Diceros bicornis minor: one gene and its partners. The protein of the gene in region 1 interacts with the protein of each later gene in a biochemical or structural test. Links are inferred from orthologs where the notes say so. Each region holds a gene or a part of one and is shown in the gene's direction. Other genes may lie near its edges. The genes, in order: SMURF1, PLEKHO1, PDLIM7 and AXIN1.

The links.
Region 2: the proteins of SMURF1 (region 1) and PLEKHO1 form a complex in vitro, tested with the Homo sapiens proteins (4 studies listed by BioGRID and IntAct). The link is inferred for Diceros bicornis minor from reciprocal best matches to the Homo sapiens genes SMURF1 and PLEKHO1.
Region 3: the proteins of SMURF1 (region 1) and PDLIM7 are reported together in a solved structure, tested with the Homo sapiens proteins (2 studies listed by BioGRID, with this or other methods). The link is inferred for Diceros bicornis minor from reciprocal best matches to the Homo sapiens genes SMURF1 and PDLIM7.
Region 4: of the proteins of SMURF1 (region 1) and AXIN1, one has a biochemical effect on the other in vitro, tested with the Homo sapiens proteins (2 studies listed by BioGRID, with this or other methods). The link is inferred for Diceros bicornis minor from reciprocal best matches to the Homo sapiens genes SMURF1 and AXIN1.

Annotation. Positions count from the first base shown.
Region 1 is NC_080765.1:7,552,266-7,559,505, forward strand, and holds the start of SMURF1 (E3 ubiquitin-protein ligase SMURF1), read left to right. Parts: upstream 1-4,231; 5' UTR 4,232-4,326; coding exon 4,327-4,411; intron 4,412-7,240. UniProt on the Homo sapiens protein: E3 ubiquitin-protein ligase that acts as a negative regulator of BMP signaling pathway. Mediates ubiquitination and degradation of SMAD1 and SMAD5, 2 receptor-regulated SMADs specific for the BMP pathway.
Region 2 is NC_080743.1:54,644,338-54,652,120, forward strand, and holds the start of PLEKHO1 (pleckstrin homology domain-containing family O member 1), read left to right. Parts: upstream 1-4,773; 5' UTR 4,774-4,977; coding exon 4,978-5,007; intron 5,008-5,190; exon of another isoform or gene 5,191-5,209; intron 5,210-5,665; coding exon 5,666-5,812; intron 5,813-7,783. UniProt on the Homo sapiens protein: Plays a role in the regulation of the actin cytoskeleton through its interactions with actin capping protein (CP).
Region 3 is NC_080740.1:90,709,098-90,716,683, reverse strand, and holds the start of PDLIM7 (PDZ and LIM domain protein 7), read left to right. Parts: upstream 1-4,571; 5' UTR 4,572-4,675; intron 4,676-5,609; 5' UTR 5,610-5,620; coding exon 5,621-5,716; intron 5,717-7,586. UniProt on the Homo sapiens protein: May function as a scaffold on which the coordinated assembly of proteins can occur. May play a role as an adapter that, via its PDZ domain, localizes LIM-binding proteins to actin filaments of both skeletal muscle and nonmuscle tissues.
Region 4 is NC_080765.1:47,944,164-47,952,093, forward strand, and holds the start of AXIN1 (axin-1), read left to right. Parts: upstream 1-4,917; 5' UTR 4,918-5,027; intron 5,028-7,930. UniProt on the Homo sapiens protein: Component of the beta-catenin destruction complex required for regulating CTNNB1 levels through phosphorylation and ubiquitination, and modulating Wnt-signaling.

The DNA of each region.
Region 1 (7,240 bases):
GCTTCATTTATATGACCAGGTCTTCAAGAGTCAGGCGGGTGAGGACGTTTGGATTTATGTGGAGTTCTCCTCCCTGTTAACCCTGGATTATCTCCTGTGAATGGAGTTCATTCAAGTTCCTTCTAGGGTGACAATCAAATGTAATTTACTTAATGACAGGCTTTTGGGGTTGAAATTCATTTCTTTCCTGACAAAGTTGAGTTTTATTTTATACTGTATAACCTTAGGAAGATAGTCCAACCTTGAGAAGTCAATTTTTTTTTTTTTTGTGAGGAAGATCAGCCCTGAGCTAAGATCCATGCTAATCCTCCTCTTTTTGCTGAGGAAGACCAGCTCTGAGCTAACATCTCTTGCCAGTCCTCCTCCTTTTTTCCCCGCAGAACCCCAGTAGATAGTTGTATGTCATAGCTGCACATCCTTCTAGTTGCTGTATGTGGGATGCGGCCTCAGCATGGCCGGAGAAGCCGTGCGTTGGTGGGCGCCCGGGATCCGAACCGCAGCCGCCAGTAGCGCAGTGCACGCACTTAACCGCACTTAAGCCATGGGCCGGCCGAGAAGTCAATTTTAAGCAGTTGTTAAAAAAAAAAAAGGATGCTCATAGTTTACTTTCCTTAGAAGTCAAACCCTCAGGCATGGGAAGTACCCTGAGGACAAGCACCATTTTTGTTGTTGTTCTTCATGGAATCCTCCGAGTTTAGAACAGGGCTTTGCCTGTGGTGGGTGATCAGCAGATGTTTGTTAAATGGATGAATGGATTCACCACTCAGAAGCAGCAGCTTTTACTAACTGACCTTGGTTTGTCAAGTTATATGACCTTTTAATTTAAAGCCTCAGTTTTCTCATCAGGAAAATGAATATAATAACAGTATCTGTCTCATGGAGTTGTGGTGTTGAATAAATGCAATCATGATGTCAGATGCAGTATAGTGCCTAATGATCTTGTAAGCATTCAATAAATTTGAGCTGCTGTTATTAGTTATACTCAAGGAAATTAGATTGCATTTTTAAAGTTTCACAAAACAATGGCAAAGTTTCCAAACCTTCCAAACTGTTCACTGTGATTCCATTGATAGGCTTCATCCAATGTTTTTGGCAGATGTATTGGTCCAGCAGATGTATTGGTCGGATGGTTGCCTGGGAGATAGTCTGCTTCCAGGGTGGTTTCGGAAGTTCAAGTTGCACACTGCTCCTTAGTTCCTGGTGTACAATCACCATGTGCTCACTTTTCAGCAAATGAGATAGTAGACATCCAGGCTGAGGTAGAGTTGGAGGTAATAAACATTACCATTGCGTATGGCCTTTGTATGAGGACATTAGAAAGGAAAAATAAACGTGTTTAAGGAGACAACGTTGATAATTAACTGATCTAGGAACTGATTACTTTTGGAATATAACTTAAAAAATTTAGATAAAACTTTCTCTAATGAAAACTTGAATTTTCCTATGTTGTAAGGCAAAGAAATATGTGTCCACCTGTAAAATCACCCTGATTCTTCATGCCTTTGTTTCACTCTAACATGATTGGAAGACATTCCATTTGGTTTATTTAAGACAGAAACTGGAGACTGGAGATCTGGAGATGGAAATTATTCTAAAAGACAGAGACTTTAAATGAGATACTTTGCTTATCTCCCAAGCCAAGGGGTCTGGCCTGTAATACTTGGGAAGTAATCAAACAAAAGCCAACAGTAGCTTTGGAAATTGCTTCCTGGGAGGCCTGTCTTCTTTCTTCACCCAGGAAGAAGTCTTCCTAATGTAGATTCTGTGGGGCAAATCCACGGTGTCAAGAAAAGCAACATTTTAGGATTAAAAGTTAAAAATTAAATATGTCCCTCAGTTATAGACTTTCTTGGAGTGTAATGGCCTGATCAGTCCTTGGAAATCATCCCTTAAGGTGTAAAAATGACTGTGTTCATTAATGAGGGCTTTGTTCAAAAAAAAGTTCCAAATGCCCTCTGGACTTTATTACTTGTTTTTTGGCATGTACTTTTTTTTCTCCTGCATTGTATTACCTCTGTTTCGATGCAGGGGAACCTTTTTTTCCCTAGTGCCACCAAATGTCACTCATGATACCTTAAGAAATAGCATACATTCGTTCTGAAGAAGATCTGTCGGGTGGCGGTGTATGCAAAGCTGCCAGGCGCTGACTCCTGGTGGAGTATGGGGTGGCAGTCAGTCACACCACAGTGGAGGTTCTAGTAAAACTATCTCATTCATTCATTCAAGCACTTATTCATTTATTTCAACAAATATTTCTTGAGCATTGAATTTATGCCAGGCCCTGTGTTCCGTGCTAGGAATGTAATGGTTCAGAAGAATAGTCCCTGCCGTCTTGGTGCTTATGTTCTAGTGAGTAGTTAGACAGGAAAAAAATAAAATTTATTTATTCAGCAAACATTTTAAAGTAACCTCTGTGTGCCAGACACCATACCAAGCTCTGGATACAGTGGTGAATACCAAAGACACAGTCCTGTTCCAGTGGACGTTTTTGTATGGGACAGGCAGACATGAAGCAGCATATCAATAAATAGAGGATTTAATTTCAAACTCTGATAACAGCTGTGATGCTGCTATGATAGTGTAATGTGGGATGGGGGTAGAAGTGGGGATGGCTGCTGAATCTTTCTGGATCTGAATAATTTCACCAATAAAGTGGAAAAAAGTGACACCTGCCCTGTATGTCCACTTGCCTCATCCTGTAAGAATAGGTAGAGAATGATGTATATAAAAGAGCTTCTGAGACTCTAAAGTCACATGAATGGTGTTAGTGTTTGCTGCTGGTGGGGACCGAAGGGGACAGGCAGAGGAGCAAGCATGTCCCCTCATCTCAGAGCTGAGCTCTGCCTCATGGGGGGAGGAGAGTTTCTGCCACAGCAGCCCTGCCTCGCGGGTGCTTCAAGGTTTGGGGCTATGAGCTGAACCCTGTCACACTTCTGAGGTCAAATAATTCACACAGTTCTGTCCTTTATTTTCTAATTTAATACATTGATAGAAGATGAAGCTGTAACACTCATATTTTAAGCAAGGAGGTGTTTGGAAAACCTGTCTCAAGCCTGTCAGTTTACCAGAGTCACCCGCACCTCCAGAGCCAATAGGGACGGCTGGTGATTGCTAAAACGTGTTTTGTTAACTTAGACAATTTTACCTGCAAAGAAGAAATCATTTTATCATCTAATGGTGTCTGAATAGTGGAAATGTGTTAGTGTGTTATGTGTATAAACTTATTGAGAAGGATTGGGAAAAGTTGTTTATTTCATTAAGCAGGTAATGGAACAGAGTTCAATTCTGTATGGATTTGAAGATTTTGGCATTTAAAGTCTGCTGATGTAACTCAAATGTGATTGTTTTTTCCTCTTAATGAAAATTTGAGGATTTCCTAAATTTGTATGAGAAGTGACGGATGAGTGACTCTGGTACAGGGCCTAGAAAATGACATGCTAGTGAAGCACTCTGATCAGGAAACCTTACTCTTTGCCATGAGCAGGGATTCTGTTTTTACTCTTTTTTGTAGCTTAAAGGATTTTTCCCCAAGGAGATAAAAAGAGTGAGTTTTAGACTTAAGTTAGATGAGATAGACAACTAATAATATACTTTAAATGCATATTATGTGCTGGTGGCTATCCTAGGTGGTAAATTATATTTTCTAATAAATGAAAATTTTACGTAGATGTTTTAAGTTAGTGAGATACCTTAATTTTCTATATTTTTATCACTGTTACTCTCTGGCTTGCTTTTTGTTTTCTGTTCATCATAATCCACGTTACGTGCCTGTTGTGTGGCCAGCACCACATGAAGCCCGTGTCTAAAGGGGTGGAAGGTGGGACTTCAGAGGAACTTAGCTGGGGGCAAAGCCACCCGTATGAAAAGTGATTGAGCACTCAGCTCTCTGGCTCTGACAGTAAACAGGAGTAAAGCGGCAACAGATTGCTGCTGGTTAGAGTAGTGATTCCCGGAGCAGTCAAAACATTATGTAAATAAGGCTATCCACATAAAATTGCCAACTTTTTATTTTGCCAAGTCACTGTTGAAACTATTACCATTTTTTGTTACCTCATTTCGTTAAAGATAGGATATTTCAACATGAAAAAAATAGACATAACACTGGGACAAAGGACAGGTGTTTAAAATTAATTAGTTCAGTTTTATGAAAACCCACTATATTGTTCTCACTGTTTTCATTTTGGCACTAGTGAAAATGTTATCACAGAGTGACGTTTGGGAGACGCTGGCCTGAATGGGGCTTCACTGAGAAAGTGGGCCTCGCCTGGCTCGAGAAGATAGAGCACAGGAAGAGAGAGGGCTTGTCCGGTGGATTGAGGAGCAGGAATGACCGCCCAGCGGGAGCACTGGTTGGGGCGGATGGAAGCGGGGAATGAACCCAACTACGCTTTGAAGAATGTGGGAAATAAAGGTGATACTAGAGAATGGGACACTTTAAAACTCAGGGAGAAACAGATTTGCAGTAAATACAAGACAGAGCCATTGGAGTCTTTTGAGCCTCAGAACAGGAAAATGGCATTTCAGAAGACTAATCTGGTGGCTAAGTGTAATGTGAATGGAGAGGCTTGAGTTAGGAAGGGCACGCTGCTCTTAGATTAAGCTGTGAGTAGGTGAAGCCGAGACTAGGAGAGTGAGTACAAAAGCAGGGGAAGGACGAATTCAAGAGACAGTTGGAAGAAAGAGAAGGTAGGATGTGGTGATACATATAAATATAAGAGGAGGGAGGAATAAAAATTACAGCCAAAGTTTCTAGCCTTGGAGAATAGAAAAATAGTGTGAAGTATTGACACAAATTAGAAAATTTCTTGTATGTCAACTATTTCTCATTAAAACCGGGGGAAAAAACCCCAAAAATGGAAAATTTCTTAAGATGATATAATAAAGTACTAAATTTGTGTTGATGTAGCTTATCCTGGGAGTGGGTGAAACCACAAATAGTATTTTGGGGACCCTATGCTTTTGTCAGCGACCTGGTAAAGAAGCTTGTCTTACTAATTGAATTTACCTCAAGTTAGCAAAACACTTCCCTTCCGTGTATTTTCAGATGCTAAGTGAACATCATGTAATTTACTCTTACTTTATCCCCAACATGAGGAAACTATGGTACGTGATTAGGAAATTATAGGATGTAAGAGACATGATTTGTCCAAAGTAGAGAGCACTTGAGAGTTGGAGTTGAAGCAGCCATGCCTGGTCTACACCGAAAAAATAAGCTTCATTTTTTGTAAAAGTAAATGTCTCTTTTGTTCATTGTGGTATCCCCAGAAACTCACTCATAATTGGTGTATCACATACTTGTTTAAAAATAAGTGGTATATCTAGACAGAGTGGGATTTTATGCTGTGTAATAAATTATCTTTTATCATTATATCTCCTAGAGTAGACAAAGAGAATTCTATCTCAAGATCACAAAATTATTCTAGTGGGAGAAATTAATATGCCTTTAACTAAAGTAGATTCAGTATGATCCTAAAGGATCTTTGCACAAAATTGAGGCAAAATTCTCTTTATGCTGACACTATTGAGACCTTCTCCACTTTGTGATGTAACCAAATTCCGCTGGAGTGAGCCTTAAATTAAAACATTGCCAGTCTTGTAAATATGAACAAAGATTAATCTTTCTGAGATGTTACCAGAATTCTTCCAGTCAGAAGCAGTCCAGCACCAGCACCTCAGAAAAACCAGGGCCCAGAGCTGGCGGATAATCTTGGAGGCTGGGGAGGTGAGGTTGGTTGGGGGCAGAGCATGACAGGTCTGGAGTTGTGCAATGGGAAGCGACTGTGGAATTTTTTAAAAGGAAAGAGACATGAGGAGATTTAAATCTTGAACAGATTACTTGGTGATAGCTAGTGTTGGGAGCTTGAACAAGGGTGGAGATGGTTTGAGAGAGATTGAGAAGTATAAGGATGACACACAGATTTCTGGCTTGTGCAGTTGATGGGTGTTGCTGGTGGTCTCTGAAGTAATGAATCTGCGGAGAGGACCAGGGTTTGAGGCGGAGTGGGAAGATTTTAACTTCAGTTTTGGACACTTTGAATTTAATATGAGAGCATTTGAGACATTCAAAGCTGTGAGAAAGAAAAGGCAAGTGAAGGAAAGAGAACATCACAGGCCCATTTGAAGAGAGTTGAAAAAGACGGCTGATTTTAAATTAACTTAAGAAAATTGATGGCTTTCCTATATCCAAATAACATTTAGAAAATGCAGCGAGAGGAACCCTCATGAGATTCATGATAGTGACAAAATCCAGAACACTTAAGAGTAAACCCAGTTAGAAATGTGGAAAACTGTAATGAAATACTTTAAAACCTCACTTAATGTTTAAAGACAGGCATTAAAGAACTTAATAAATGGATGATTAACTACATTCAAGAATGGGAATACTCAATATTGTAAAGAGGTAAATTCCTCTTAAATTTATTTATGAGTTAATTTTTTTAACTGGCTCAAAATGATTCTATAGTTCAATGGGAAAAGTAAGTATGTGAGACTATCCAGGAAAATGCTGAACAAAGAGTAATGATGAATTTCAGGGGCATGCATTTTCTGTTTATACATTTCCAAGTTTTCATTTTTTATAAGTAATGTATTAATTTTGTAATTAGAGGAACAAGAAGTAAAACACCAGCAGGAGCTGTAATAAATTATGATCTATCCACAAAATAGACTGAAGAGTGTGTGTGTATATGTGAATATATATGTACACATATATTGCCATTGGAAAGGAAGGGTGTAAAGATTATGCTGAAGAGGAACTATTACTACCAACTATACTGAAATAAAGAGGATTATCAGGGAATGCTGTAAACAACTGTATGCCAACAAATTGATAACTTAGGTGAAATTGACAAATTTTTATTTTATTTATTTTTTAAAATATTTTATTCTTCTTGTTGCAATTGTAAATGGGATTGTCTTCTTGAGTTCTCTTTCTGTTAGTTCGTCGTTGGTATATAGAAATGCAACTGATTTCTGTAAGTTGATTTTGTACCCTGCCACTTGGCTGTAGTTGTTGATTATTTCTAATATTTTTCCAATGGATTCTTTAGGGTTTTCTATATATAAGATCATGTCGTCTACAAACAGCGAGAGTTTCACTTCTTCGTTGCCTATTTGGATTCCTTTTATTCCTTTTTCTTGCCTAATTGCTCTGGCCAGAACCTCCAGTACTTAGTTGAATAAGAGTGATGAGAGTGGACACCCTAGTCTTGTCCCTGTTTTCATCTTTCTTCACTTTTAT
Region 2 (7,783 bases), on another chromosome or scaffold:
CCCTTTTACTTTTCATTAACCACATTCCTACACAACTCATTTCTGAAAACTCGTCATGTTTATGCAGAGAGCCATCCAAATATTGAGTGTCCCTACATTGCAATTTTCTGTGGCACTGAGAAACCATGTATGGCTACAATAAAAATCCATTTTATGAAAAGATACAAGTGATTTGTTTTTGCTTCTTTGGGGTTAATAACTATGGGAATTCATGAGACAAGGCATGAGCTGGCTTTATACCAAACATAGAGAAGGCATTGCCTCTACCTGAAAGACATTTAAAGTATGTCAAGGAAAATAATAAATTCAAGGCAAATAATAAATTCTGGTGTCAGTTTCACTTCTCTTGAAAGCAGTGGAAAGTGATGATGTCATTGATGCCAGGAAATTATGGCGTCCTCAAATCATAGCAAAAACACCACAGCACAATCCCTCCCTGGCTCTCGGTAAGTCTTTACACTTTTTTTTAACCTTTCTTTTATGTTGATAAACATTCTCTAGCATCAGATAGCCTAGGCTGAAATCTATGTCACAGTTGTGTGGCTTTGGGAACGTTATTTAGTCTCTTTGTGGCTCAGTTTCTTCATCTATAAAACAAGAGTAATAACATACCTTCCTAATAGGATTGTAAGGATAAAATGAGATAATACAAATAAGCACTTAGGACATCACAAACACTCAATGAAATTGGACTAATAATAGTAAATAAGATTGATTCCTGTCTCCAAGTAGGGAATGCAAAAATCACTATGCAAAATGATTGGATTCCTGTCAACCCTCCCTCTGCACTAATAAGCAATTCAAGAAATTGAGGGAAAAGCTGAAGGTCATTCTCTCCATCTCCCTTTTCCCCATTCCTCTCAGCTTTCAGCCATTGTTCCTTACCTCACACACACTCACATGAAGCCCTAAGGGCAAAAGTCCATAGTAAAGCTAAGAGCTAAGATCTAAATTCTTTTCTTTTCTTTTTTGCCTTCTTTTTTTGTTTTTGTTTTTGTTTTTGAGGGTCCCTTTGGATACTATTTTTTAATTCTTAATATTTTTATAATAATAAAAAAGTGACACAGCCTTCACTTAGGGAGACAATATTTTAAATACAGCTTTTTACAAGTTACATAGTCTTTTCAAATAAACAGAAACCTCCCTCCTCCAAGCAGGATTGCCTGTGCTTCCCTTCCTCTGCGCAAGACGTCTTCAGAATAAGAATAAGAACGGAGACTTTTCTTATATCATTCTCCTCATTATTTGCCTGCTGCCCATGTGCCTAGTCACTAACAATATCAAGAAGTCTAAGAAATGAGCCTTACCCTCAGGATGTTTGATGCCAGAAATTGGCATTTCTTTGTTAAGGATCAAAGGTTCATATTTTTATTTAAGATTTACAGAGCTGATTACATTATTACTGGTCCTTTATTTTTTCCCTTTAGAAACATCATTTTAATTAAGGTCTCATTTGTTTTTAATGACCTCTCTTCAATGGACTGAAGTGCCCTCTATGTCCCATTTAGTCCACAAAAGCCAAGGTACTTGTTTTTAGCTAAACAGCTGTTTGGATAACAGGTTCTGCTCAGTAAACTTGCAGGCAGCAATTCACAAGTCCTTATCTCTTATAGCTCCCTTCTTCCTCCCTTAGGTGGAGTTACTTATAAAACAGTCAGTTGATGGGCTGGCCCCGTGGCTTAGCGGTTAAGTGCGAGCGCTCTGCTGCTGGTGGCCCGGGTTCGGATCCTGGGCGCACCTTCACACCGCTTCTCCGGCCTCTCAGCATGGCCGCATCCCACATACAGCAACTAGAAGGATGTGCAGCTATGACATACAACTATCTACTGGGGCTTTGGGGGGGGGGGGGAATAAATAAATAAAATCTTTAAAACAGTCAATTGAAGAATAAAGCTACCGGCAGTTGTCTTATCCATGGTGATGCAGTTAGGGAGGTAACCCCATCACAAATCCTCCTAGTATATCTCCACCTAAGAGAGAAATTGGCTTGAGTGGTAGTGTCAAACTCAATGAGGAGCCCGTGCTATGAAAATGTGTAAAGGAACTCTTGACATTTCTAACTTAAAAATTGGTCTTTGGAAACAGTCCCAATTCATAGATCCCAATTCAGGTGCCATGAAGTTCACCTGGCGAGAAAGAAGTCAGCTGGAAGAACAGGCCAGAGGAAGAGTATGGCATAGGGAAAGAGGGATGAGTAACAGGACAAAGTGAGAGAAAAGCTAAAGGTCACCCTCTCCATTTCCCTTTTCCCCATTCCTCTCAGCTCTCAGCCATTGTTTCTTTACCTTACACACAACACTGTGAAGCCCTCGGGCTTCTGTCCATGTTATAGGATGATAAGATGAGGCAGTGCAGCAGCGCAGGTTAATGAGAGAGAGAAAACCAGAGATTTATGTAACATCCTAAGGAGCAAATAGGCAGGGAAGGTTCTCCAGCCCACATGCATCTGTTCTGGAATCTGAAAATTACTTTGGAGGGTTTTGGTTTTTTAGCAGTCCCTCTGCCTGATGTTCCACAAGGCTCCTGTCCTGCCTGACGCAGCACACAGGGACCCAGGACCTTGCATCTAGGAGGCACTCAACTATTTGCTGACCAAAAGGAGGAAGATGGGGCAAGTCATGAATTACTTTTTTTCCCGTAAAACGGAATCTATTTAAACTATAAATCCAAACCACTCCTATCTGTCTGGTCAGCAAGCCCTCAAAAGATCATGCAGGCTAGTTTCCTCACCAGGACAGTGGGACATTTTGCTTCCCCACTTATGAAGATACCCTGGATTTTCTCATTCTTTTTAAATCACTTTTTAAACAGAGAAGGTGGGAAATAGATGATGGGAAAAGGAAAGGATGGTGGGAAGGAAAGAGGGGAGAGAGAGAGAGAGAGAGAAAGAGAGTGTGTGTGTGTGTGTGTGTGTGTGTGTGTGTGTGTGTGTGTGTGAAGCCTAAATAATAGACTGGTGTCAGAAAACCTGGATTCTAATCCATTTAGCCAGTAACTTGCTGTGTAAACTTGGGTAAGTCAATTGATTTCCCATGCCCTGTTTCCTCATTTTCCAAGTGAGAATAATAATATTTATTCTATATATTTCACAAGGTGGCACTAAAGATTTAAAGAAATGATACATAAGAGCATTTTGAAAGGATAAATTTCTATATCATCCTAAAATAGAGGAATTAGTATGGTAAATGAAAAGAGGTTAAGAAGAATATTATTGGATTAGGGAGAAAGAAGGGACTGGGAAAAGAGAGAATCCTCCTCCTTCATTTGACAGATACCAGAAAAAGCCAAGATCATGCCACTCCTCAAACCGCAAATTTGGCCAACGATTTCTTTTATCTTGAGACATCTCCAGAAAAAGAGTTCTTCCTTCTTCCTGCTCCTCTGTGCCAGGGATTTTTATTCATTTTGTGGTTATTGCGTGCCTACCATACGCCAGGCAATGTGTTTGTTAGCTTATTTTTATTTAAGAATTAGCCCTGGAGGGCAATATTTATATTTTCAGAGGACTTTCACAGGTCATCTCATATATTTTCCTAACTTTCCTTGTTGATGGAATGGGCAGTTCATCCCTCACCATTTCATATGTGGAGGAACTGAGGCCTAAAGAAATTCAGTGACTCAACCAAAGGCCACGGAGTAGTGATGAAACCAATACCCAAACCTAGGTTTCCTGACTCCCTTCTTCCCATTAAATATGTATTGAAAATGAAGTTACTGAGATGTTGGTCTGTAGGCTCTGAGGCAGATCTGGTGTAAGAGGGATGAGCAGAGGTTCCGCCACTCAGGTCCTCCTCTGGGCATTGAGCCCTTCCCTCCACTGGATTTGAGTGCAGTAGACAAGATGGGATTTTTACATGTCAGTGCAGCAGGGAGAGACACCCAGGTGGCAGGAAGCTTAAGTCTCACCTGCAGCTTGTATTTAAAGCCACTTGGTATAACGGATCACGGCTTCGGAGACAGAATTCTATTCCTGCTGGAACTTAACTGTGTGTGTCTGTAAATCCCTCAGCCATTCTGAGTCTCACTTTTCTTTCTCTCTCTGCAGTGGAGATCATAATGTCCACCTCACACTGAGGGTTATTCTCCTGAGGCTCAAATAAGGCCTGCGGCTTTGTAAACTGCAAGAAATGCATATTAACATTAACTTCTCTCCCACCGCGTCCCCCTGCACATTGATACCCTCGGAAGCATAAAACTTTTCCCCAACATTTGTCCTGCTCAGGCCACTCTGTCTACCTCCTAGGGAGAGGGCATTCCAGACGCCGGTTCTTAGTAACGCGCCCTCCCAGCTCACGCTCTTGTTTTTGTTTTGGGTTTGGGAGGGAGAGGATGTCGAGAGATGATCTCGCTCTAGCTTATCTCTGGTCTTCATAAATCTATGTCTCTCTATCATCCACTCCAGCTGCCTCTGCTGTGTCTCTCGGCAGGTCCGGCGGGTCTGTCTTTTCTGGCTCCACCTCTCGCTCGACCGTCTGTCTGAGTCTGGGTCTCTCTGCCCCTCCAGGAGCCTTTCCCGGCTGGGTTTAGGTCTGTCTTCTTTACCCTCAGTGAGTCAGAAACAAAGGAGGGGGGAGCGCACCATCTCCGGCGCCGCGATTCGCCCTTTATTCCGAACTCGCAACGTCAGCGGGCCGGTGGATGGAAGTGCGGGGCCGGGCCGGGCCGCCCACAGCGCCGGGCCGGGGGAGCGAGCGGGCGGGCGGGCGGGCGGCGGGGGCGCGCTCGGGGCCCGGCCGCGTGGGCGCCGGGATGGAGGGCGCCGGGGGGCGGGGAGCGGGCGTGCGTGTATGTGCGAGTGCGAGTGCGAGGGAGGCCGGCCTTTAGTGTAACCGGAGCTACAAAGAAGGGGAGAGTCCGGAGCGGGAGGGAGGAGCGGCGGCGGCGGCGCCGGGGGCATCTCCGCCACCCTCCCCTCGGAAGGAGCCCCCGCCGCGGGGCCGCCCCTCGGCCGCTTCCCCGCGCCCGCGCCCACCCGGCATGATGAAGAAGAACAATTCCGCCAAGAGGGTGAGTGAGCCGCCGCCCCGCGCGCGCAGCCGACTTCGTGCTCCGAGGACCCCGGCCCCGTCGGGGCTGCGGGCGCGGGGCGGGGAGCGGGCGTCCTGCGCGAGCCCCCGCCCTGCCCGCCCGGCCGCGGCCCCCGGCCTCGCCCTCGGCGCGCCCGGCCCCGCGGGGAGGCGCCGGCGGGGGCTTTTGTTTGTGGACTCGGGTGGGGGGCTTTAACTTGGCTTAGTTTCTGCCCGACCCCCAGCGTCCCCTCCCCGGGCGGCCGGCGGCCGATCGCGTCGCGCTCTGCAGGGGCGAGCAGACAATGAGAAATAAAATAAAACGCCGCTAATCCGGCGCCGCGAGCGGAGGCTGGGGGAGGGGGTGGGGGCTGGGGAAAAGCCGAAGGCCACCTCCCCGCCAGGCCGGGCCCGAACCCCTGCCTCTCGCGGCTCGGTTGTTTATTTGGGAGAAGGGGGAGGGGAGCGACGGGGAGAGAGTTCGGCGGAGTGGAAACCTTCCAGAAGTGGGGGATCGCCGCTGAGCTCCCCGACTCCAGCCTGCGGCGGGCGGTCACAGGACAGCGGGAGCGGGGACCGAGGAGGTCGGGGGACAGCAGGAGAGAAGGAAAGAGCTGTGCTCGCCTAACCGCACGGTTCTTCTCTCGCCCCGGGGGCAGGGGCCTCAGGATGGAAATCATCAGTCTGCACCGCCTGAGAAGGTCGGCTGGGTCCGGAAATTCTGCGGGAAAGGGATTTTCAGGGAGATTTGGAAAAACCGCTATGTGGTGCTGAAAGGGGACCAGCTCTACATCTCTGAGAAGGAGGTAGGTGCCCTTTGCCTCTAACTATCCCTGTTTTCTCTTATTCCCCACTTCGTCTCTCCACAGGGGGCTTATCGACCTCTCATCTCCCCCTCGCCTCACTCCCCATTTTGTTCCGAAAGCAAGTTCAGGTTGATCTCTACCCCCATATCTGCAGAGAGAGGTCATCCTTTAGGGAGAGGACCAGAGTTAGAAGTTGGCTGTACATCTTATTTAATGGTTTCTCTTTGCAAATACCTTTCTGACAACGATGATAACCCCCTCCCGAGATATCCCGAAAGTTCTAAGTGTCCCCGGCTGACCCCTACCCTATCCTGGTCTCTAGCTGAACGTAGGATTTTTTTCTTTGCTATTGCTGCTGAGACACTCTGTTCAGCTTATTCTCCACCCCTTCCTGTCCCCCCACTCCGACCCGCTGGCCTCCCCTTTCCTGTCTCTAGCAGGGGCATACGGGTCGTCAGGCAGCTCGGCTGCCCTGAATCACAGAAAACACACACCCAACCCAGGGGCAGTCTCATATGATCTCAGGTAGAGTATGAGAGGCACACAGTTATTTCTGTTGAAGCCAATGTCCCTAACCACTATGCTCTCTGTTCCCCACCCCCACTCCACTAAAAAAAGAAGCAAGGAACTCATTCTCCACCCTCTTCCTGCCCACCACCCCTCATTCCTATCAGAAGGGAGAAAAGTGAAGTTATGAACCCGTGTATGTTTCCATGTCTTTGGCTCTGTAGTTAAAATGAAAACCTCAGTCCACACTGGGTCAGAACCTGAGGCCAGATCATTGAATCTAGACTCTTCTCCCTTTTCTCTCTAATTCTTGGGATCAATAACATGTAGTAATATTGAGAAACTGAAATTGCCCCTCCAGGGGTTAGAAGTCATCCCATCCCTACCTCTACAACTGTGTCAGCATAGCCTAGGAGACTGTCCTGTGTTCCCCTGGTCGCATGCCCTTCCTCCCCCTGAATCTGCATTCCCTCCCCCTGGGGCTAACTGGGAAGTCCTCCCTGAGTTCTAACCTCTTCTGCTTTCTGCAGCAGACTATATTTAGGTAAATAAATCCTTTTATGGTATTGAAACAGACACACACGCAGGCCTTGAGAAAGTATTCATCTGAACAGAACATCTACTAAGGCAACTAGGGTAGAACTAGCCAGGGCCAAAGAGATCCTCGTCAGGGTGTTTACACCTGCTGTTTACACTAAGCTGGGCACTTGGTGATGGAGTGAGGTGAGAGAAGGCTTTGACAGGAGGATTTATTTTTAAGGGTCACCTCTACCCAATCCCAAATCCTACAAAAGGTTTTTCCACAATTTGCTGGCTTTCCATTTAAAAAAAAAAAAAAAGAAGCAAGTGCCAAAGGGTATCTCCTGTCTTCCCGAACTACATAATGGCAGGAAACTCTAGTGAGCAATCAGGGAGAACTTCCCACACGTCAAAGGGGAGACATGGGAACAGGGAAGAGGTAGAAGGAACAAGACATTTTTTTCTTGTTTGTATTTGTCCAAAGAACAGAGTCTGGGGGCGAAAGAGCGTGGTTGATCCTTGTTTGTTGAGGAAGGGGTACAGAGACAGGGGAAAGGATGAAATGACCTCAGCCTAGGATGTCTGGTGTCCTGTGACTCAGGAGCATCTGACTGGTCATGGGGCCAACAGCCCCCTGCTGAGGAAGGCATAGGAAAAGAGGGAACAAGCCTATTGATATTACTCTTCTTTGGAGCCGGTTTCCTTGCTACAATGGCCTGGGTTAAAGGTGAAACTGATAGAGGACTCTAGGTTTTATTTTGTCCACTTCCCAAAAGCTCCGGAGCTAACAGATTCAAAAATTTTCTTTAAAAATGCATGGCATAATGTTTGTAATTCACATGTTAATGCAAGAAAATTCCTGACCCCCTCCACTAGAATTTGCACCAGTCTTTTTTTGTTACTTCCCCTCATAAAGGCAGGGTCTCCCACAACTGCCTCCACCAA
Region 3 (7,586 bases), on another chromosome or scaffold:
TCCCTGGGGCCTCCGTGCACACAAGCATCATGCTCCCAAGGACCTGGCTTCCTGGCCCCTTGACCCCAGGCTCAGCTATCCACACCCTTGGCACATCCTGAATCCCATCTTTATAACATTGATGCTCCATCTTCACAATCTTGTTTCCAAGTGCCCCCGCTCTGGCCACATCCTTCTCTTCTTGCAGCCTACTGCCTCTAGCACGACCCACACAGCTCCTCTCCAGCCGCGTCCACCTACGGTGACCCTCTTCTGACTGTCTGTGCCGCTGCTGTCCACAATTCCATCCTTGTCCACCTTAGACTCTGTGTTCTGCCAATGGAGTCACCCCCTCACGCTCCTCTCGTCTTCCAGCTTATTTGTCTGGCAAAGCCACGAGCCACGGGAACACCAAACTCCCTCCATACCTGCAGCCTGGCAGAGGCCCACACTGGGGACATTCACATCACCAGGCTGATTGCGTTGTCTTTAGCAATGTGATCTCAGACCTCAAATCGGCAGGCCTTCTACGCTGCCCAGAGATCCTGTGTCCCAGAATGGCTGTTTTTCTCCTCTCCGAGACCTCCACACCTTCTCCTCTCCATCCCTGCCCAGTCTCAGCTTGCAGATATCCTGGAGAAACAGCAGCCGACAGAGGTGAACACCACCCCCCCCAAACCTCCCACCACCTCCTCTACAAGTGCACCTGCATCTGCACTGCCTCCTTCCTGCCCTACAATGGAAGAAGTATCTTTTCCCCAACATGTGTCTGATCCCAGCTCCTCTCACCACCTAACAGCTTGGCAAACTGAGCTGCCCATCTCCTCGACCCATTAATTCCATCATCGTCATTTCCAGCCACAAACAAACATGCTCTGTAATTTTACATCTTTAAAAGAAACTTTCCCTTGACCTCACATTCTCCTTCAGCCACCTCCCCATTTCTCTGTTCCTCTTCACAGTGAAACTCCTCAAAAGAGTTGTTGATTACTCTCATTTCCACTTTCTCATCTCCCATTCTCCCTTCCACCAACTCCAGACTCCTGTTGGTCCCCCCACTTCATTGCATTGCTCTTATCACAGTCACCAACCTCCCTGTTGCCCAAAACAAAAGCAACCTGGACTCCCCTTGTGAGCTGGACTCCCCAACTTCTCAGCAGCATTCGACACCCCTCCTTGATACGCTGTCTTCACTTGGTTTTCCTCCTCCCTCCTGAGCCCCTCCTTCCCAGCCTTTGCTGTCTCCTCCTCTGCCAGAGTCCTGCCCTGGGCTCCAGCCTCACAGTGTAGCTTAACGCTGGCTGCACACAGAATCACCCAGGAGACTTTAAAAAATGCCTGCACCTGGGCACACCCACAGGCTCACATTTCATCAGTCCTGGCAGGCCCCGGGCATCAGTTTGTCCGATTCCCTGAGTGATTGTAGTGTGCATCCAAGGCTGAGAACTACTGCCCTAAGTGAGCCAGTCCTGTCTCCAGGTCTCACTGGTCATTTAAATGCTGGTGGCTAGGGGCCGGCCCAGTGGCGTAGTGTTTAAGTTCGTGCTCTCTGCTTTGGTGGCCCAGGGGTCGAAGGTTGGAATCCCGGGAGCAGAACGACTCACTGCTCATCAAGCCACGCTGTGGCAGCGTCCCATATACAAAATAGAGGAAGACAGGCACAGATGTTAGCTCAGGGCCAGTCTTCCTCACCAAAAAAAGAAAAGAAAAGAAAAGACAAAAGAAATGCTGATGGCTCCCAAAGGTATATCTTCAGTGCAGACCTCTCCCTTGAGCTCCAGATTTAAGAATCCAACTGCACACTAGACTTCTGGCTGTCTAAAAGGCATCTCCAAATGTAACGTCTGAAGGGACGCTGGGGGGTTCTGTGCAGTGCTGCCCCAGAGTGTCTGTGGCCACAGAGGGCAAAGCTCAGGACATTGGAGCGATGGGGAGGCAGATTTCAGACCCACTTACGGAAGCTCCTCCTGATGGGTAAAATCTTCCCATGATCCATCAGGCTGCCTGCCATAGAGCCAGCTGAGGCCAGAAGGTTCCCAGTCAGGGTGCCTGCGGCAGGGACCCCTCTGCCCCACAGCTCAGCAAATCCGAGGACACACTGGAGGTTACCCAGAGAGTCAGGGTCATGACCAGAACTAGAACCCAGGACTCTGGGTCCCTGGTCAGGCATGCTTCCCTTCACTACAAATCTAAGCCTCTTTGTTTCATGCAATTTCTGTGAGGTTCCAATCAGACTGGGAAAGAGAAAGTCCTTGGAAACCTCCAGGACTCTAGGGGCCTGGCCCTGGAGCTGTAGCTGTCCTGGCCGCCGGGGGGCACTGTGTCCTAGCCTGGGGCAACCCAGGGGCTGCCTATACAGGGAGCTCTTGTGGCTCCATCCAGGCCTGAGCCTTGCACAGGCCAAGGAATGCGGTCACAGGGTCCTCTCTGCTGGAGGACTGCCAGGACCCCCAGCTGCCACTTCTTCCTTTGCTCACGTGCTGTGTCACTTTCTTCCTTCATCTGCTCATTCACATCTGCTGTGTGCAGACACTGGGGAAATGTTGGTGGACGAGACAGACAAGTCCCTGCTCTCATGGGAGTGAGTTTCCAAAGGGGGAAAAGGCAATAAAGAAACAAACACTTGATATAATATCAGATGGTTGTAAGTGCTATGGGGAAAAATAAAGCAGGGTAAGGGACTAGTACTTGATGCTGGCAAGGTGTCAAGGGACTCCTGTTTTAGATAGGTGGCCAGAGAAGATCCCTTGGAGGAGGCGACAGCTGAGCAGAGACCTGAACAAAGTGAGAGAGCCTGTTGCTTAGACATCTGGGTGAAAGTGCTTCAAGCAGAAGGAGCCACAAGTGCAAAGGCCCTGAGGCAGGAATATGTTTGACATGTTGGAGGAACAGTGAGGAGGCCAGAGTGGCTGGAGTGCAGTGAGCAAGGAGGAGAGTGGTGGGAGGTAGAGTCAGTTTATTAGTGGCATATACATCTTGAGGACTTTAGTTTTAAGTACAATGTGAGCCTACCGGAATGCTAAAAGCTGAGGGTGATGTGGTATGATTTCTGCTTTAAAAATATCATTTTGGCTGCTGCATGGTGAAGACTCTGGAGTGGGCAAGCATGGAAGCAGGGAGCTCTATTAGGAGACTGTTAAGATGTCCAGACACGAGATAAGTGGCAGGGACAATGACGGCAGCAGTGACCAGATGTGGAACATATTCTGAGGGTGGGAATTGCAGAATCTGGGGTATGACAGAGAAGAGAAAGGAAGGATAACTTCATAGTTTTTACTGGACCAGGTGGATGAATGGTGGTGCTGTTTACTGAGGCGGTGAAGGAGCAGCCAGTGGGGCAGGAGGAGGCATGAAGCCAGCGGAAGAGGGAATGCCCCTGGACCGGTAAGACAAAGCTGAGAAACCGCCATTGATTCGATAACCTGGAGGCATCAAAGACCTTGAGAAAAGGGAATTAATTCAGAGGACTGGTGGGGATGAGAGCCTGACTGGAGTGAGTTCAAGAAAGAACGAGAGGAAAGCAAGCGGAGACAGGGCGATAGACAACTCCTTCCAGGGATTTTACTCTCGAGGGGAGTAGAATAAAAGAGCAATAGCTGGAGAGGGAGGTGGGGTCAAGAGAGATGTCTCTAAAGATGAGAACTCTCTCAGCAGTTTGTGTAGTGAGGGGAATGATGCAGAAGAGGGGAAGCGTGATGATGGAGCAGGGAGGGCAGCCGCGGCCACGCCCTAGAAGCAGCTGAGAGGTGGACGTCGATTCATTCCCGTCCCTGCTCAACTTCCCCCGCCGGCTGAGCTAGCCGCCGGGGCTGAGCACTGGGGGCCAAGCGGGGACTCGGACACCCTCGCTAGAGTCTCCCGTTGCGCCTCCACTAGCGGCGCTACCCCCTCTGGAGTCGGGTACCAGAACACAGCCCATCTCGACAGTGTGGGGTCGCTGAGACGGGGTCGCAAGGCAGCGGGATGCTGACTGCCTGGGGTCACGGGGTGGGAGGGAGGCCAGGGCCCACAGTTCAGGCCGAGCCCAGGGCCCCCTCCACCTCCGTCCGCTCCTGCCCTTATTTTCTGCCGTCAGTAGAGTGTTCTGCAAACCTGTTCCCACCTCAACTAATCCCACCTCGATGTGTCTCCTCCCACCAAGTTTCTTCGATTTAGAAATTCTGGAGCCGCGGATGCCTGCGCCTTACGCCAAAGAATGCCTATCCTCACGGCGGCCCTGCAAGGCCAGTATTATTGTCCCATTTTTCCGGGGAGGAAACTAATGTTCAGAGACAACTAATGCCCAGATCTGTTTGATTTCGAAGGCTGCCTTCTTTTCACTCGGCCAGCGGGAGGCGCAAGGCGTTGGCCGAGCGGCTGGCTGGGCTCCCAGACGCGGCATCCCGCAGCCCAGGCCCCGCCCCAGCCCCGCGCCAGCCCCGCGCCACCAAGGGGCCCGGGGCGGGCCGTGCCTTCCAGCTCAAAGCGAGACGGGATTTCGTGATTGGGCGGGGAGGGAGGATTGGGTGGGGCTTCCCACTGACGGACCGGCCGCTCGCGGGCGTGTCCTCGATGGGGGCGTGGCCTGGGGCACCGCCCCCTTCAGCGGGCTCAAAGCGGACGGCAGCCACGGGGGAGGGGTCAGAACACGAGCGGCTGAGCCCGACACCGCCTTTGGGAGACCGCTGCGGAGCAGCGCCTCGGCGGGGCCGAGCAGGTACAGGCGACAGCGCGGGGCGTCTCGGGCTGGGCCAGGCGGGGGGCAGAGGCCTGCTGGGGACCGCAGAGGGCTTTAGGGGTCGTGGCCAGCGCTGCGCTTCCTCCCTCGGGCCCGGGCCCCCGCCCCCGCCTTCCTGCGACGAAGCCGGCAGCGGCGGGACCGATTGGCGCCTGCGCCGCTTCCTGCGCTCGGGACTCGGCCAATGCATGGGGCCCGGGCGGGGGACCAGGGGGAAACTGAGTCACGTCGGAGTGGCATCACCCCCACTGGGCTCCAGGATGAATCCCCCTCCTGGCCACGCTTTGGGGTCCAGCCCCCACCGATTTCCGCAGAGCCTGCACCCCTGCCCGGTCCCCCTCAGCGCCCAGGGGTCCCGCCCTGGTTCCCAGCAGCCTCGACCGGTCCTGGAATGGCTAGGACTCGCTCCAGCCGCCTCCCTCCCCACCCCTCCCCCTCGCGTCCCGAGCCCCCGTGTGCTCCCTCCGCTGACTCTCCGCACAGTGTCAGCTTACACGCCTTATATAGTCCTAGCAGGCTCCAGCTGCGGCCTGCCTGCCGGGACCTGGGGGCGGGGGAGAGGAGTGCCGGCCCCTGACTCACCCCACCGCCATCCGAGGCTCAAGGCTGGCTTAGGGGGAGGCCGTGCCAAATTAGCCCTGCGGCCCACTCCTGGATGAAAAGAACCTCAAGACTGGATGCGGGCTCCCCTCACCCTCCCAGTCCCTGGGGGAGGAGGGTTGCCCCTGTCTTTCCAAAGTGAGGCCTGCCAGCCAGCAGCCCAGCCAGACCTGACAAGGTGCCCGCCTGCAGATGCCCTGGGTGTGCTAAGCGTCTGCTTGTGCCTGCGTGGCACCAGTCCAAGGCTGGTGTCCAGAGCTGGGCCTGCCTGCACACTCACTATGCTGGCCACTCACCTTCTCTCTCCTCTCAGGAACGGACACCATGGATTCCTTCAAGGTGGTGCTGGATGGCCCAGCACCTTGGGGCTTCCGGTTGCAGGGGGGCAAGGACTTCAATGTGCCCCTGTCCATCTCCCGGGTGAGCCTAGGTTGGGGGAGGGGCTCCCCCAGGAGTCTTTGGGTGCTCAGGTTTCCAGTGGGTGATGGGAGGAGTCTGAGCAGGAGGGAGCCAGGGCCAAGAGTCCAGGAGGTGTCCAGGTCCAGAGATGTGGTGGTCACCTGCCACAAGGACTCCTAACTAGGTGGATACTGGGAAAGAAGTCCTCATACTTCCCCAGCACTGCACTATACCTGATGCCATTCCATGAAGCTCCTGGGGCCACCTCTGAGGCCTGAGGGATGTCCATTCTGCAGGAGGGGAGCCTGAGATCTCCAGGAAGTGTCTAGGCCCTTGAGGGAGCAATGCTTGGAGCCAGCCCCCAGGCAGGACACTCAGACTGCAGGATCTCACTTCACCCTCACTGCCACCCAGGGAATAGCAGTTGTCATCCTGTTTTTCCAGATGAGGGAGCTCAGGACTGAGAGAGGTGGAGGCGCTCCTCCAGCAATTCCATGACAAAGCAGGGATTGGGATTCAGGCACTGGGATGGCCTGCAGTTTTCGTGGTTAGGAGAGTGAGGAGGGTCTCTTTCCAGCCTGTGCGAGGACCTGCATCCCCCACTGGTCCCATTCAGGATACAGTGGCCTTTGACCCCAAGCAGGGGTGTGGGACAGGTCTCTAGGGCTGTGACTCCTAAGATCCTGCCCTGGTTGGGGGGGGCTCCTGGGTGGAGCTAAGGGCTGGCTCCTCCCTGTGGCAGGGGGATTGCCTTATAAGCCCAAGAATGCAGCCCCATGCTGGGATGGCCATCTGCTGGCTGGAGTCTGCAGAGCCGAAAAAGGCTGGTCTAGGCCGGGACCCCTGAACTGCATTGGTGGGCCCCTCAGCTGGTGACCACCAGGCCATAGCTCCAGCTGTAGGGTCAGTTGTGGGACATAGACAACAAACTGCCTGCCCAGAGAGGGTGAGGGCTGGTGTCTCTGACTGTGGCCTAGGAGTCAGTGTGGGGTGGGGACTTCCTGTCCCCACATCTGCCTGTGCAGAGAGGCCCACCCGGGTGCCTGGTGGGCAGGCGGCTGTTGGCAGGAAGCCCAGGGCAGGCACAGCCTGGAGGGGGCCAGAAGGTTGTCCAGGCACTGCCCAGCCTGAGAGGGGCCCCAAGGCGGAGTCTGCGGGAGTTGGGCTTGGTGGCCAGGGCAGGCAGGCGGTCACTGATCTTCCCAGGGACCTTTCCATGGGGTTCCCCTGGAAACTACCCTGCCAGCAGGTCTCCCTACAACACACACACCCAGCCCTTACGGTCCTGATGCCTTGCCAGCCCAGAAAACCTATCCTGAATCCCCCTCCCTGGAAAGTGCTGGCCAGTGTGGCTGGGGAGTCGCAGGCCTTGGCTGGCCTCTGAGACTGTTTCTTCATTGGTGGGGATGGGCAACATAGTGAGCTTGGGGGATGGACTTTCAGCTGTGGCCTGTTGGGGGCACTCTGGGCCACGCCTTGCTTGTCAGCAGCCCCAGTGTGTGGGTGGGGTGGTGAGCTGAGCCCAGCCCTGGAGTTGGACCTAGGCCCTGGTGGGTGGGCTGATGGGGTGGTCTTTTCTGAGCTGGGCCAGCCCCCTCTGTCTCCCCTGACCCCGGCATGGAGAGAGGAGGGAGGGGCTCCCAGGACTGGCTGTGGGCCCAGGCCTGGGAGATGAGGTAACGTCTGGGACTTGGGGGTTGGGCTGCTCGGTGGAGCCCTCAGGCTGACTCACCCCCACCCCATGCAATGTCCAGCCCCCTGGCTCTTCACCTCCTTCGTACTTAGGGCCTCCCTGCTTCTCTCTCCAGCCACCCTTCTGCCCCCTACCCCCGAGTTCTCTCCTGCTTCTTTCTCTACCTCTCTGAGCACTCTCCCATCCCTCCTGTGCTTC
Region 4 (7,930 bases), about 40 Mb from region 1:
CCATCAGCACAGGAAGACATACAGCAGCCAGGTGGAAGGTGACAGTCACGCCGGGTATCATGCATGCAGCGGTGGACACTGGGCTGACACTGGAGCTGACCTGTTTGAGGCAAAGGCCTGCTCCCGTCCCTGTACCTCCCCAGCTTGGCCGCGGGACCCCAGATCACTCCCAGGGCGTCTGCCTGAGGCAGCTTCAGCTGAAGGGCTGGCGAGAGAATTCCAGACAGCAAGAGGGATGCAAGATGCCAGCCTGGACAACACACCTGCCCCAGTGTGAAGGGCGAGAGGAGCCAAACACAGGAGGAAAGAGGCGGGGGGACCTGCCAGACGCAGACTCGGGGCCCAGGGAGCTCCAGCCCAGAGTGTCCACGGGAAGCTGGGCCGGCCCAGGAAGCTCGAGGTGGCACCTTTTCACTGGTCCTGGGGCCAACTCTGGGTGACTGCCACAGGCACAGCACAGGGCCTGCCACCCTGCCCAGCACTGCCCAATGGGTCAGCTCTGTCGTCCCCCAGTTCTCAACCCTCTGCCCGAGCTGCTCCAATGGGTTAACTTATACTGAGCGTTGATGGAGAGATGGCGCTGCTGCAGAACTTCAGGGTCTCCACGTGATCATAACAGCAACATCGTTGTAGAACTTCTTCCTGAAGGCACAAAGAAGAGAAGGGAGCCCACCCCAATCCTGCTGTCTAGCAACAACGGGTGTTAATGCTCCAGGATGGTTCTTCAGTCTTCTTGACTGTATACCCACATTTCCTGTGCTCACAAAAGCGGGCACCATGCACGCACTGTCTCCTAGCTTTTCTCCTTGGTGTTATGTCTCTCCATCTTGGTGCAACATCTCTGCACCCTCTGTTGGGCCTGGGATGGTGGCACAAACAACACCTTGCCCTCCCCCGAGCTCAGAACGGATGGAAAAAGGACACTCAGGCCAGAGATGGAGCCCAGGGGGCTGGGCTTACGGCCAGGAAGGTGGCTGGCCAGTGTGACTGGGGCTGCGCCTCACAGGGAAGTCCACTCCTCATTGGTCAGAACTGGATAAGTCAAGGCCTCCCTCCCCAGCCTGCCCGCCCACCCCCACCTCTAGAAGCCCTGTCCTGCGCACCCAGGAAGACCATGGGGATCTGCCGCACAGTGTCCCATCTCTGTAGCTCTTTCTCTGGTGCTGGTGTTCCCCACCGCGCATCAGGCCGCGCCTTGGCGTGCCTCCTGGGTGCCTGCCGGGGGGATTCCTTTGGGTCACTTTTCATAAGCTTTCTCAGCCAAGCGGACGAACACGTGTGAGGCTTCCAAGCTCAGTTTATTTCAAAGTATTCCTTTTTTGTCTAAGTTGAAGAAAATAATTTCATTTCTGCTTTTTTTTTTTTTTTTTGTGAGGGAGATCAGCCCTGAGCTAACATCCGTGCTAATCCTCCTCTTTTTGCTGAGGAAGACCGGCTGTGAGCTAACATCTATTGCCAATCCTCCTCCTTTTTTTTTTTTTTCTTCCCCAAAGCCCCAGTAGATAGTTGCATGTCATAGTTGCACATCCTTCTAGTTGCTGTATGTGGGATGCCGCCTCAGCATGGCCGGAGAAGCGGTGCGTCCGTGCACGCTGGGGCTTCCGAACCCAGGCCGCCAGTAGCGGAGCGCGCGCTCTTAACCGCTAAGCCACCAGGCCGGCCCTCATTTCTGCTCTTAAGTTTCTCGTTTAGTTCAGGGAAAGCCTGAATGAATTTTGTCCCCAGTTAATCAAATGGAAGCCTCTAGTGGCAGACTCCCACTCCCAGAGAAGGGGAGTTGGGTTTTAAAGGGCTTCTGTAAAGAAAGGACGTGGCTCCGTCTCGGGACTAGCCTGTTCAGAAGGGAGGCTCCCACGGCTCTGTGACTGGTCTCAGCTCCAGGTGCCTGATGCAGTCCCCCTGCCAGCTCACCCCTGCTCCACTGCAGGCCCCCAGGGCCGCCCTCCCTCTCTTCAGAGTCTTCACTGAGCTCGCTTATCTGGCCCACCCCCACTCCACCCTGCTCAGACAATGTCCCCTGCACGCCCACAGCCGTAACCCACTGTGGCAGGGCTGCTGCGTATCCTCCAAGCTTTCTGACTCCCTTCCTGTCCCTGCAGGGCGGGGGCCCTGAGAAGCCAGAAGCCCGAGGGCCTTGTTCTGGTCCCAGGGCCTGGGGACACCTGCTGCCATGCGCCAGGAGGAGGATGGACGTGGACACAACCCTGGGAGCCTGGCCTGGCCGCAGCAGTGGCTCTGCAGAACCAAGGCAAGCGTGGAGGGCCCGTATCTGGGAGTGGGGAGGCAGCCTGAGGGCCAATGTCCAGGAAGTCCTGCTGTCTGTCCAGGACTCCCACACCCCACAGAGACCATGCTGTGCCATGAGGGTCACCACTCTGTCTCCTGGAAGTCTCTGAGGCTGAACAAGGTGGGGGAGGAGCTGCAAGGGCGTCTCCCGTGGCCAGCACTGCGAGGCCTGAGGCCATCCCAGCTGCATGCAGGTGAGAGTGACGCCTGCCGCCAGGACCCTAGTGGGGCCAGTGTGGGTTAAGCAGAGCAGCTCCTGTGATGTGCTGTCCTCACCCACAGCCCCAGCCCCTGCCCAGCCTGCCCTGAGGTGTGGTGATGGCCCTAGGAGGTGGCCTGGGCCCTTGGCAGGCTGGGGATGCTTCCCGGTCCCCATCCCTCACTGCCCCACTTTCCTACAAAACCCTGGGCAGCGGATGCTGTGCCGGTCCCGGAGGAGGCCGGCTGGCAGTGGCTGGGGGCTGGGATGCCTCTGTACCCGCTCACACAGGAAGGCACCACCAGGGGCAGCTGCTGGGAGGTGGCTGGTGGCTCAGAGTGCCCTGAGCGGGGACTTCTGCCCTTGCCTGGGAGCTATGAAGGATGAGGGTGGGCAGCAAGGGTGAGCAGTGTCCAGGAGAAGGTGCGGTGGCATTAGAGGTGACGTGGGGGACTTGGGGGGGCAGGGTAGTAGAAACATGAAGGTGGGCAAGTGACCAGAGGCACCCAAGGGAGGGTGGTGTGGAGGAGATGTCAGGGAAGGGCCCTGAAAGGCTATGGGCACCAGAGATCAGGCCAGATGAGGGCTGTTGGGGAAGGTGTGGGGTGGATGAGGTGTTGGGGAGCCCTGGGCTGGGAGGTGAGCAGGTCTCTTTGTGGCCTGAGCTGCAGCTTCCTCTTCTGTAGAATGGGGGTACAGCCATCCCCTGGAGGCTGCTGGGGGCATTGCTCGAGGTGCCAGGCCTGGCGTGGCTCTGTGGAGGACAGGGTCCTGGGTGGTCATGGGGCATCCTAGAAGTGATTCCTTGGGGCAGTAATCAATTCCTGGCGCTCACATATGTCCGTGGTGCTCACATCTGAGTTGGTGGTGGGCAGGCAACATGGAGTTTGCCAGCTAGGCTTGCAGGTCAGGCAAGAGCTGCCAAGGTGACAGCTGGGGGGAAGGGATGGTGGGTGCAGGGAATGGGACACCCAGAAGCAATTGCTCTCAGGCTGGCCTGGGCGAATGGGACCCGCAGGCAGTGGTGGGAAGGGGAGCCCTTGTCCAGACCCTGGATGGTGCCAGGGAGAAATTGAGGCAGGCAGGCCCAGCCGAGGTGGGGTCTCAGCCAGTCTCAAGCACAGCTCTTTGGCAGTTGGGGCTACTGCCCAAGTGACAGCCAGCATTATCAGACACCTCTTGCCCACTGTGTGCCTTGGCCCTGTCTGAGTCCAGACTGCCTGAGGACCTGGGGAGGGGAGAGCCCTGGCCCACCTTCTCAGGGTCCTGGCCAGCCAGGGGGCAGCAGGCATGGTGAAGGTGGAGACAGGAGCTGGACATCACGGGGGCTCAGCTCCCGGTCAGCCTGGCTCTGCCCTCCAACCACCCAACTTCTGGACATCTGCTTCCTTCAGTGCGCCGGTAGTTGGTGGCCGTCCAGGGCCACCTGCAAAGGTCCTCCTGTCCAGGGCCGGCGGGCAGGGAGCCCCGCGGTCTCCACTCCCTCTGGCCACCCCGTCCGCCCAGGCACAAGCTGCTCGCCCCGAGCCGGTGGGAGGCTGGCTGGGCGCGGGCCGACCTCGGGAGCCCTGGGCCAGTGGACACCGGTGTGGGCGGCAGAAAAGGGCTGCGACCTGGCGTGTGCCCTGATGCGGGGCCGGCTGTCCGCTCGCTGTGTGCACCGGGCCGGGCATCCCGTGGCCGGGGTCCTTCAGGGAACCTCGCGGGGGCGTCCCCTGACGCCGCCCTCCGGGACGCCACCGCCCAGGGGGACGAGCCCAGTTTCCCGCCGCCGGTTCCGGCTCCCCTCGACAGGGTCCCGGCCACGCGGCACGCCCAAGGCCCCAACCCCACATCAGTGCATCTGACCGCGCCCCCTCGCTCTGCCTCGCCTCACGCCCCAAGCCCGCCTGGGCGCTCTGGCCCCGCATCCGCGCTCAGGCCCTGCCTCCTCTTTCCAGGCTCCGCCCTTCCCTGCGCTCCGGCTCCGTCTGCCACTCTCGGCCCCGCCCACAGACCTGGCCCCGCCTCCATGTTAGAGGCTCCTCCCACACGTTCTTAGCCCTGTTTGTGCACCGTGGCTCCTTCTAGCGGTCCCGGCCCCGCCCCACGCTCTCCGCCAGCTTTACGCTGCGGCTCCGCCCCACACTCAGTCCCGCCCCACGCCCCGCCCCCGCCCCACGCTCCTGGCCCCGCCCCACTCCCTGCCCCCGCCCCCGCACTTCCGGGCGGCGCCGGCGGGGGCGCTCCGGCCTGGGCTTCTGCGTCTGGGCTCCGGCTCCCCGCTCAGGGAAGCGATCGCGGCCGCTGCCGCCGCCGCCGCAGGACCGGCTGGAGTCGGGCCGGAGCCGCGTCCCCGCGGAGCAGGCCACGGAGAGCGGCGGCCGGCCTCGGCGGCGCCCCGCGGCCTGCCCCGCGCCCACCTCCGGGCCGCCGCGCGATGGGGGCGGCCCCGGGCCGCGCCCCCGCCCGGTCCCGCCCGCCGCACCGCCACTGAGCGCATGGGCCGCGCCGCGCCGCGCCGCTCCGGGAGCCGGGCCCGGGGCCCCGCCGCCGCGCGCGGGTGAGTGTGCGGGCCGGGCGCATTCCCGAGGGCGCGGGCCTGTGCGGCCGCATTGTAGGCCGCGTAGGCCGGGCGGGCGGGACCCGGAAGAGGGGCTTGGCGGGTGCGGGCCAGGAGGGCGAGGGGAGGCTATGTGGGCCGGGAGTGTGTGCGGGGAGGGTATGCGGGCTCCAAGGGTGTGAGGGGAGGCTGTGCGGGCTCCGAGGGTGTGAGGGGAGGCTGTGCGGACCGGGAGTGTGTGCGGGGAGGGCATGCGGGCTCCGAGGGTGTGAGGGGATGCTGTGCGGGCCGGGAGTGTGTGCGGGGAGGGTATGCGGGCTCCGAGGGTGTGAGGGGAGGCTGTGCGGGCCGGGAGGGTGTGAGGGGAGGGTATGCGGGCTCCGAGGGTGTGCGGGGAGGCTGTGTGGGCTCCGAGGGTGTGAGGGGAGGCTGTGAGGGGGCCCTGGAGTGTGTGAGGGGAGGGTGCAAGAGGAGGCATGCGGGAGGGCCCAGGCTGTGCGGGGGGTTGGGGTGGGGCCTGTGAGGTCCAAGGCTGTGGAGGCAGGCGTGTCAGAGGGGGGATGCTAGCAGGGGATGGAGAATGCGAGAACTGTTGACACTGGCGTGTGTGAACACGGAAGAAGCAGACTTTGGTTCAGGAAGTGCAGACTCTTGGTTTGGGGGAGAGGAAGGGTGTGAGGAAGACCCCGGTTTCCGAGAAGGGGTGGGTGGTGCTCCTGGAGGAACCTGGGGTGGGAAGCTGCTGCGTTTGATTGTGTGGTGCCAGGTGTGTTGTGGTTCTCCTGCCTGGGGTATGTTTTGTGGTGTGGGTGGGGTGCAGAGTAGCTGCTGGGCCCAGACATTCTGTGCAGGGATCTTGGAGAAAGACAGGGCAGTGGAGCGTCCCTTCCCTCTCCCCCCAGCAAAGAGTAGGAGTGAGTGAATCTGTGCCCTGGGCTGCGTCCAGCTGTGGGTGGCCTGTCCAGTGGCTGTCCTCTCTCAGATTGATGCCTTGCCTCCAGCACTCTCTCTCGGGTGTGGATCTTAGATTCTGCCTCCACTACATGTTTTGGAATTCAGTCCCCCATGGAACCAGAGCTGCACAGCCAGGGCAGTGAAACTTGTAGCTCGGCACAGAGGACAGTAGAGAATAATACACCAGATCTCTGGGGATTTTTCTCAGCCCATCTCTAAGATAATTTGTAAAGAGTTCTTATTGTGCATCTCGGCTTCTCCTCTTTGCTTGCATTTTATGTTCTTTGCTTCTTTAGGAAGAATCTCGGGCATACTTAGACCCACAGGCTCTGTTTTGGAGAACACACACAGTCTAAACGTGACCTCCCAAGATAGTCGGCAATATCTGGGTTTCAGTTTTAAGAACTTCTATTCAGGGACAAGGATGGGAGAGCATGCAAAATACAGTGTTTCTGTTTGATTTTCAGCAGGTGTTGGTGTTTCTTGGATTTCTAGTTTCAGAAAAGCTAAGTGGACTTTTTTGGGTTACATTAGTCATTGAGAATTGAGGTGGTGGGGGAATGCATTGTGTGTAAAACAGTAGACCTGACCCTTCAAGAGTTTAATTAGCAGACAGTTGGGAAAATGTCATTCTTGCTCTGTTACTTCCACAGTCCATATAGATCAAAAGTTCAAAAGTTATATTTGACTAAAATAAATAAATACATACACATCTGTAGCATCGAGCTGGCTGCCCTGGTACCCAGGGGGTATGCCTCAGCAGTGACTAAATGAGATTTTAAATGCCGTATTGGAGTTGTAGATTCCTTCTATGGAATCCCTTTATTGATGGTGGTTACAGGCTGTTGGCCAAACTCAGTGCTTGTGGGCATTTGACTCTAACCTGAATTAACATAACTGCTTTCTGTGTGGTATGCACACGTGCGGACACTAAATGCTGGTGTGCTCCTCTGTGGGAACCCAGAGGTTGCAGGACCTGGAGCACGTTTCAGTGTCATCAGTAATTTGGAGAGGTGTTCATGTGCTCCCAGGGACACCAAATGTCTCTGTCAGTTGACAGCCAAAAATAGATGTGAATTACAAGGAATGTTTCTTTTGGGCAATGAAACATAGTTTAAAATGATTAGAGGGACTTGTTCACACATGAATTAAAATGTTAGTTTTTTAAGACATCCACTGTTTTGTAATGAATGGCTGGGTCTTGAATTTGCTGCTTGTTCTATAGCACAATAATTTAGCGTCTGTAAAGAGTTAACATTTGGCATCTATGACAAGTGTTGTTTTCCTTTATGTCAATGAATTAAATATTTATTGGTGCTCATTAGTTGCAAGACTTTGTGCTAGGTGCTGTGGGTTCTGCAGAAAATGTTTAAATCAGCCTGCTACAAATAATTTACATAGAAGACATAAGCACCTTAAGAGAAAGTGACAGTGACTCCTAATTAGCCTCCCATTTGCACACAGTGACTTGGTTCTTTCTCAAGGCTAGTGAACTACAAGGCATCTCCAAGGGTAAGGCTCAAGGGCCAGGTGCTGGCCCTCTTTCCTAAGATGGCATCCCGGACAAGAGGACATTAGACGTCCACAAGCTGGTGTGGAGCTGAGACACCGAAGGTGCTCATTCCAAGTTGATAGGGCTCAAAGAAAGCAACTTTGCAGTTGATGTGGTCCAGGAGCAGCAGGGTGCCATAGCCCATGGGCCTTGACCTTAAGAAACAGGGCATTCCTGCCAAGGCTGAGATTACAGCCTACCCAGTAGTTTACATAGAAAGTCATTAGCTGCAGAAATGTCATTTGGGGCACATAATTGTGACCTATTCTCTGTCTCTGGATGCTTCTCGCTTCTAGCCATCTGCAGCTGCCGGCAGGTGAAGTGTGTGCAGCATGAGAAGGCAGGTGTGAGGGGGTGGATTACACGTATACCAGTGTGAAGTAGCCCTGAGTGTGAA